Linked DNA regions of Solanum lycopersicum. The protein of the gene in region 1 binds, or shares a complex with, the protein of each later gene. Links are inferred from orthologs where the notes say so. Each region holds a gene or a part of one and is shown in the gene's direction. Other genes may lie near its edges.

The links.
Region 2: AUGMIN subunit 4 (region 1) and NMP1 share a complex: the UniProt entries of both Arabidopsis thaliana proteins name them as parts of the augmin complex. The link is inferred for Solanum lycopersicum from reciprocal best matches to the Arabidopsis thaliana genes AUG4 and AUG7.

Annotation. Positions count from the first base shown.
Region 1 is NC_090811.1:422,886-427,323, reverse strand, and holds the start of AUGMIN subunit 4, read left to right. Parts: upstream 1-1,615; 5' UTR 1,616-2,475; coding exon 2,476-2,604; intron 2,605-2,693; coding exon 2,694-2,741; intron 2,742-2,812; coding exon 2,813-2,938; intron 2,939-3,293; coding exon 3,294-3,626; intron 3,627-3,850; coding exon 3,851-3,950; intron 3,951-4,435; coding exon 4,436-4,438. Other genes in the region: CASP-like protein 2D1, read left to right, coding at 1-42; ATP synthase gamma chain, chloroplastic-like, read right to left, coding at 502-1,551. UniProt on the Arabidopsis thaliana protein: Involved in microtubules reorganization during spindle and phragmoplast development.
Region 2 is NC_090800.1:76,721,606-76,726,217, reverse strand, and holds the start of NMP1 (nuclear matrix protein 1), read left to right. Parts: upstream 1-1,500; 5' UTR 1,501-1,619; coding exon 1,620-1,753; intron 1,754-1,848; coding exon 1,849-1,965; intron 1,966-2,324; coding exon 2,325-2,409; intron 2,410-4,612. UniProt on the Arabidopsis thaliana protein: Contributes to the assembly of the acentrosomal spindle and phragmoplast microtubule arrays as part of the augmin complex. Regulates the association of gamma-tubulin with the spindle and phragmoplast microtubules.

The DNA of each region.
Region 1 (4,438 bases):
CCTCCTAGTAAAGACAATGAAGAAGAAAAGGAAATGCACTAATTAAATTTTAGGCATAAGATACACAATTTCCAGCCTCCTAGTAAACACCCTATGACCATGAGATATTTTCTCTTCTTGGTTCAGTTATAGAATCCTGCAAGGCCGTTGCTGCAGCTAATTCCATCTCCAAGGTTCTGCATTTTTGTTAAAGAAGCAGCTCTTACTAGCTACTTATGTTGAAATATGGTTCTCACAAAATCTATGAATAATTAACAAGCATAAGTAACATACTGTACAGCATGATTATACTTGGACTCACTTCTTACATCCTTCTTCTAAAAAACAAATTATAAAAATATGGGATACTGAATAACCAATGGGAAAAAAAATCATAAATTTTTTTATTCATACATACACACATATAGAAAGAGATGATCTCTCCCTTTAAGACAGATTGGAACAAGGGATTATCAACTTAAAGCAATGGTTTTCTTAAACATCCTACAGAAATTTCAGCATCTATGTAATTAGTGCATCTGCTCCAGCAACAATTTCCAATATCTCACCTGTGATCTTCGCCTGCCTTTCCCGATTATAAGCAATAGAAAGGTTCCTCCTCAACTCAACAGCATTATCCGTTGCACTAGTCATTGCATTCATCCTAGCTGCAACCTCACTTGCAAATGACTCTTGAAGTGCCCTTAAAATCTGGCTATTCAAATATAATGGCATCAATGCATCAAGAATCTGAGCAGGATCTTGCTCATACTCTAAATTACGCAAAAATTCCCCCTTTTTCACCCTCAAATCCCTCACCACACTCAGTTTACCTTCCTTACTAGTCAACCTAAAAAACTCATCTTCATCAAAAAACTCCTCTCCTCTTAATGGGAGCAAAGTATGAATCACCGGATCAGATTTAATCAACGAAACAAATTTAGTGTACAAAAGCTCTACTTTATCAACTTGTTCACTAATAAACAAAGAAAAAACATCATCAGCTATAACCTGAGCCTCTTTAGCAGTCGGAAAACTCTCAAATCTATCAACAACAAATCTATCAACATTCCGAAAATAAGCATTACTCTTCTTACCAACACTAATCAAAGTATACCCAATTCCAAGACTCGTCAATTCCGCCATCCGGCTCTCTGCTTTCTTAAAAATCCCATTGTTAAAACCACCACAAAGACCTCTTTCACCTCCAATAACAACAAGGCCAACTTTCTTTACCGGTCTTATTTCTGTCAACGGTATATCTACCTCTTCAAACTGAAGCTGTTGGGTGATGTTGTACAACATATCAACAAGGGTTTCAGCAAAGGGTCGAGTACTGATGACTGCTTCTTGTGCTCGACGAATCTTAGCGGCTGCGACTAGTTTCATTGCTTCTGTAACTTTTTGGGTTTTGTTGATTGTGTCGATTCTTCCTCGTAGTTCACGAATACCACACTGAATTGAACGAAGGGGAAGTTGCAGGGATCGGAAACTAGGGTTTCTATTGGTTAGTTTAGGATCACAAATGGGAAAGTTGACGACATGACAAGTGAAAGAGAGTGAAGAAGCCATTGATTACAGACGACACACTGGAGAAATATACCCTACTTTAATTTGTAATTAGATGAGTTTTACTACTCCCTATTTAGTTGTCCTTCCATTTGACCATAAATTTTTCAAATTATTTTACAAATAATTTTTTTCATATAATTTATTATTTATTTGACAAATATTTCAAATTTTTAATATTAATTTTTAAGATTTGAGCCAAATCTCATTATTTGGAATTCTTTTTAAAATTAAAATTTTATTTCAAACTTTTATTTTTTATAAAAACGCCCTCTGTAATAGTTATTTGCATTATATTACATAATTCTTTTTACGTAAACACCAAAATAATAATATTCTATATTTAGTGAAAATTAAATAATGATATGATTGTTAATCATAAATTAGTAGAATCTACATTGTTTTATTGAATTTCTCACTTACAATTCCTTTTGTGAAAAATTCCTATATTTGAGGCAATAGAATGGATGTTCTTTGGCCAATTCTCTTTCACAGATTGTTTGTCGCACGTTTTGGTTTATTATAATTGTTTGTATTGATTTAGACAAATTATCTACTGAATTATTTACATTTTGTAGCAATTAGTTTGAGAAATACTTGAATTAGTTGCTGATGGCTGACAACGTTTATTCATTCAATTTTTGCATCAATTCTCCTTTCGTACTATTAAAGTTGATATTTTTACTAAATCTGCATTTTAAATAACTATGTTTGAGTATAACGGAAATATTTATTAGTAATACTATATTAATCCTAAAAATTAAAGAAGAAATAAAAAAATTATCCCTACCATTAATTTTTAATTTTGTTATGTTAGAAAAAACCAAAAATACTTTACTTTTAACAAAGTAAAAAACTCAAATAATATTTGAAGAATCAAAATCCAAGTCCAAAAAATTCAGTGATTTGAATTGAATCGCCGGAGAAATGGGAAGAGGTTTGGGTTCGCAAAACTTGCCGGCGGACGTCGCTCAGCTGATCGATCAGTTAGACCGCCATTGTTTAGCCCCTGATGGATCTCTCATCTCCAAATCCGCTCACTACGATCTCCAACTTGTATTTTCTAATCTCTCTACAATGCTTATTATTTGATCGTTAAGGTAAACCAAACACTCAAAAAAATGATTTATTTTTGGGCATTGCAGGCGAGAGAAGAGATGTCAAAGGAGAGACAACGATACTTGGAATCTTTGGTAGGATTTCTATTTTTGGGTTAACATTTTCATTTTTTTCCTGATTGCCTTTGTCTGGATAAACCTTATAGGCAATATACATTGAAGCAACTGCGATGGTAGAGGATTACCAGCAGGCCATTTCTGTGGCTAATCTTGGTGGTATGAGAGATGTCCAGGGTTTATACTCTCAATTGGGCTTGAAAAACCCTCCTCAGGTTCCACTTTTTTTCAGTTTATTCGATTTTATGGATGCTGTTTGGGTAAAAGGATTCTCTTTTTAGTTCACTGACATTACAGGCCTGCCTTGGGTATACGTATTTTGTGCACGATTTTTTACTAAAAGATTGCACGTACCGTCTAGTGCATGCTTATGCACACCCGTATAGATTGTGTACTGATAAACAAATTGATTATCAATAGATGAGAATGAATGATAAGTTTAAGGTGTTATGCATTGTACATTTTTTAGGCTCTGACGATAGAGTTCTGCAGACAAGTTTTTTTTTTTTTGGTTCATTGTTCAAATTGTTTTAAGTTTTCTGGGTGATTTTGGCTCTGGAATGACTTCAGGTTTATGAGGCTCTTGAGCATAGGATGGTTGTTGCAGAAGCAGCACAGAGATTGAGGCTTCCTCTTATCTCCAAAGACGGTGAGATTCACGAGGAGGAAATTGAAAAGTGGAGTACAATGTCAAGAAGTTCTTTTGATAGCACAAGCACCAGCATTACATTAAGCTCGAGCTCAAACTCAGCTTATCAAACCAATGCATCTGCAATTGGAGCTGTTCCTACTATTAGTACAACTGATTCAACAGAACCAGATGTTGGTGGTGTTCCCAATCGGTTCCTTGGAATTACACCTGCATATTTATGGCAAACTCAACTACATCAGATGTCATCAGTGGTATAATATACCTATTTGATTGACGTGATAACCTCATGGTCTTGTGGGGAAATCTTTTCTGTTTTCCAATTAATCTTCAATGAAAGTGTTGTAGTTGTCTTTTATTTGTGTACATTTATCGATGCTTTGATTGCTTGTTACCTACAAACGTGGAATCGCTATTCATCTGGTTATCAAGTGTTAGTTCTACACGCCCATAGATGCTTATATGTCTGCTATTGTAGGACGTGGCAGAATACCAGAGATTACTTTCACGGGAGATTGGTGGCCGGTTAGATGCTAAATGTGATAAGTTAGCTGATGCAGTTGCTATTGATGACATTGGTGAGTTTAAGTTGCTAATTTGTCTTCCTTTATCTTCCCTTGGTGCTTGGCCTTTCAATATGTTTGTTGGTTGCCGAATTTCTACTTGTTTTCCTCTTAAACAAAACCAGCGTTTATAAATAAGACCTGGACATCTATGTCAGTTTTATAATTAGCCCCTATATACATATTATTATTTGAATGGGTATAATATGTAGTCAATTTGATTGTAATGTTTCAAATTGTGGTGCAAATAGGAAAAATCTACTGCTGAGGTGCATAAGTTCTAGATTTACTTGTTATCCATTTACACAAAACTGTGCCCCATTGCTCCTCAGGGATTTCTTGGTTATAGTTTTTTCTTGATTTACTCATGTCAGTGTATTCTTCAGAGGCTGGTTGAGTAGTTCTCTTACTATTTAAGTAACAGAACTTTTAGAAGTTGTTGTTCTCATATCAAGATTTCTGTAAGAATACAAGTATATAACCTTACCTTGATTCTACAGATA
Region 2 (4,612 bases), on another chromosome or scaffold:
TTCATTCTTTTTGTGTGCTCTTAATTTTTACAACACAAATTTAATGCTATCTGAATCACTAATTTTGGCCATAAACAATTTTGGTGTTCATTTCAATTTGTTCACATCTTAAATATTACATCAAACTTATTATAGTATTCTTTTTATATATATTAAATATTTATATCAATTTAATATATGCATATTATATATATTAATATAGAGATATTTTACTTCGACTAATTAATATGTGTTTTTGCATTATAAAACTATTTAATTATGATAATTTATATTAGTTTAACATAAACGTTCGAGGAACTTAACTTATCTTAAAATTCATACTAAAACAGTTGGATAAAATAAAACTATAAAACTAAATAACATTCAATTACCAAATACAAAATAAATAATGAAAAACTTACATAAATATACTATAACTAGTAAAGTTATCCGCGCCTCGTGCGGGAACTTTATATCAGAGAATTTATAAAATAATATTTTAAATCTATTAGTTATTAAAATTAAAACACTATATTATCTCGCATACAAGATTATTACGTGGTAACAAACATTAATAATGTAAAGAAAATGAAATTTATTACATCCTATCATTTATCCTTACTGACATAAACATAATTTAATGACTAAATAAATTATACCAAGATTTATAACATAAACAATCATCAGTGAGACACTCAATAGGAACAAAGTACATAAATGTTTAGTTGAGAAGAAAAAGAAGAAGAGAAGGAGGAGGTTTAGAATTTTCGTTTTTTTTAAAGTGAGAGGAAATCTATTTATTTATATACAACAAAGGATACCGTGCACAAATGTTTATTAATTATGCCTTTACTGAAAGGTTACAACTATTTGGAAAAGTTGCGATCTTTCGAAAGGTCACAATCTTTCATAAAAATCACATCTCTTCATAAAAGTCTCAACTTTTAATGAAAGTCGCAACTCTTCATAAAAGTCGTAATACTTCATAAAAGTTACAACTCTTCATAAAAGTCGTAATTCTTCATAAAAGTCACAACTCTTCATAAAAGTCGCATTTTTTCATGAAATGAGAAGGCTACTTTTGGAAATAAATAAACTTAAAAGGAAATTCTGGTTTGAGGTTGTGCCACAAAGGCGGGTCGAAGGTTTTCTTTTATATATGTATATATGATTAAAAAAATATTTACCATTTATAATAATAACATTTTTTTCTTCACTTGATCCCTCTTAGTTCATTTATAATCCAAGTTTAATAGATATCACAATAATCAATTTTATAATTCACATACAATACAAATTTTAATGATGGATAATATATTTATTACACATTTTAATACACTTATTATACAATATATCAAATTTTTACTAAACAAACATAATATATTTCAAAAAAATATAATTCATATTGTTTTACTAATATTAAATTTCAAAATTTGCAAATAACGAGTGCAAATGTTAATGATTTTTATTTTTTTTTTTGCTTTCACAAAAGTTCATTTAAGAACATAACTTCAATTTAAAACACTATTTCTCCTATCCTTTTTCTTTCTTCACCAAATTCAAACTCTTTCTCTCTCGTCTTTGAGTTTTCGCCAGTAAATTCTGAAGCCCAATTGCGAAGGACACGATCGAATTTGGGAATGGCAGCGAAACAAATGGAAGAAATACAGAAGAAATTGGCTACATTGAACTACCCAAGAGCCAATGCTCCTGCTCAGTCCCTTCTCTTTGCCGGCATGGAGCGATACGCTCTTCTTGAATGGCTTTTCTTCAAGTATAATCCCTTTTCTCATAAGAATCAAGTATTAACACTAAATGGGTGATCTTTATTATTTCTCTTAATTTTACTTTTTTGGTTTGAGTTCACAGGTTATTAGGGGATAAGTCGCCATTTTCTCAGCAAAATCTACAAGGGGATGCTGTGGATCGCGATGAGGAGACTTCCCGCATTCAGTGTATAGCAATTTTCTTTTTCTTTTTTGATCGGTCAGTTTAGAGCTTTTATTCAATACCCTTAAACCCTTTTTGGATTGACGTTGGAAATTGGTCAGAATTCTAGTTCTGGTGCATTTATTTGGGAATGCAATGCATCTTACTTGATTGTTCTTACTGAAGTTTTGATCTTAGTATGCGTATATTCGTTAGATGACTTCATTAACATCAACTGGGTTTATGTTTCTGATTATCAGTCAAGAGCTTTGTTTTGGTTCACTTATTAAAGTGCTGATTAAACCATTCATTAGTATAATCAGGAAGTCCTTGAGAATGTTTGTTTAGGTTTAGATCTGGAGAAATTGTAGGAAATTGTTTGTATGAATGTTGCTTCTTATGTCTGTTTTGATCAGGTACATTTGTGTATTTTTGGCAGATTTAGCAGAGATTGCAAAGTTTCTAGGCATAACTACTACTGTTGATCCAGAAGCAATCCAAGTGCGTCTTATTGACTTTTTTCCTTGTAGACGCATAGTATACTTCATTTTATGTTATGCATCACTGGTAAATGTTGAATCATATTTTGTCCTTTTTCTCGTTATGATTTGGTCAAGCACCTTTCAATCTTCTGCAGTTTTACCATTTGGTTATCATCAGCCTGGTTGAGAAATTTGCCACTGATCCCTATTGATCATAGGCCATACTGTACTTGGATATTAGAAGAATTTGTTATGGAGTAATGACATGAAACGTCACATAAGTTCTGATTAAAGGTTACACTAACTGGATCTACTCAAACAAAGAGATAAATATGACATTGATCCTTTGTTTAAAGTGTTTTACTTTACTTACCTTGGTGAAGGCTAAGTACTGCCCCTTTGACTCTTCATCTCAATTTTCACTGTTAATCGCTAGGATTGTATTACTTTAATTTTTTTAATAAATTGAAAAAGAAAGTTGCAGTTCTATAATTAGGTCTGGAAGACAAGTTCTCATGGCAAAATCCTTAGGATTACCCTTCATGTCTGGTTTTAATGTTTCTGATTCTTGGAATTCCCTTATGGCTGGGCCTAAGATTCTCATTTATCAACCTATACGTGGAGGCAAGCAATGAGAATTTAATTTTTTTTTACCCTCCTTATAAAATGAATAATTTGAAGTTTCTCTGATCTAGCTAACACTTGCTGGCGGAGTTACTTGGCATTCATGATGGTAGGAGGTAGCAGGTACTTGTGGAATAGTTAAAGGCATGTGCTGGCCTGGCACCACCGTTGTAAAAAATAATAATGAACGATTTGGATTTCTCAATCACCATAGCACATTATTATTTGTAGTGTAGTTCTCAACCTTTCTATATGCTGATGATGACTTAGATTTGGTGGTTAAAACTTAAGACTGCCGTCTCAGGTCAATATAGCATTTCATATGGTCTCAAAAGTTCAAAACTACGGTTCTTTTGTTCTTAATTAGCTCATGGAGGACTGATAGGAGTAGCACTACTATTAAAGCTGGATCATTTTGAGGTACAGTTTGCAGTTACAGGAAGTGCCGGGTTATTATACTTCTTTCGTCTCTGGAGATACTGACACTTATAAGATTTTGTCCATTTTAATATCATCATAGATTATAGAACCTTTAGACATCTACTGGCATAAAAAGTTTTTTAATAGTCATTGTTATTTGTCATATTTTCTTCAGTGTTTGAGAGAGATAAAGGCAGTACAGAACTTATGGATTTCTTGGTTGATACTTAGAATTGTGTCAATGTTTAAAACTAATAATGTCTAAGATCCTCCCTCAATTAGAAGGTTGTTAGGCTTCCTATGATCTGGTGTACACACCTCAGTGGCTTTACGTTTGTGTCATGCTTCTGTGTGTATTGGTAAATTGAATAAGAGAGGTTGACGACTAGGTAAGCACCATAATTTTTATCTTAATTGACACAAACATGTGGAGAAAGACAAGCTCCTAGTGATGTGATAAAATGAACAACATCGTAACAATGTTCACATCGATTAGTTTCCTGAAAATGAAAAAAATTGATCTTGTTGTTGCTGGCTCCTTCAGCACGTTCTGCTTATATTTTGTCAAAATTTGCTATCTAATTAAATTTTAGTGGTATTCCTTTTTGGTCATTTGTCATATATAAAGCAACAACAACATACTCGTGTAATTTCACAAGTGGGGTCTGGGGAGCGTGATGCATACGCAGCCTTAGCCCTATTTTGTGAAGGTAAGGAGACTATTTCCGATAGACCCTCGGCTCAAGTAAAACATATAAAAGTAAAAAAATCAAGCAAGTAAAGCAAATACAGTAGCGAAGAAGCATGCCAAAAACAACGAAGAAGAGAATAGTAGCAACAACAAATAATAGATCATTGAAACAAAAGAAAATAGGTTATACTAAAATCAAAGAAAAAGATTGTAGGTGAGTAATAATAACAATGTAGGGGAACTAGACAATGCTCAACTACCTACTAACCTTCTACCCTAATCATCGACCTGTATAAATTCGTATGATCTTATGGTCATGTCCTTGGTAAGCTACAAATGTGCCTTGTCCTGGCTTATTACCTCTCTCCAAGATGTGTTTGGCCTATCTCTATCTCTCTTTATACCCAATATAGCACCTCCTAAAGGGGCAATTGTGCATCTTCTCTTCACATACCCGAACCACTTCGTTCTCTCCTCCTTCTTGTCC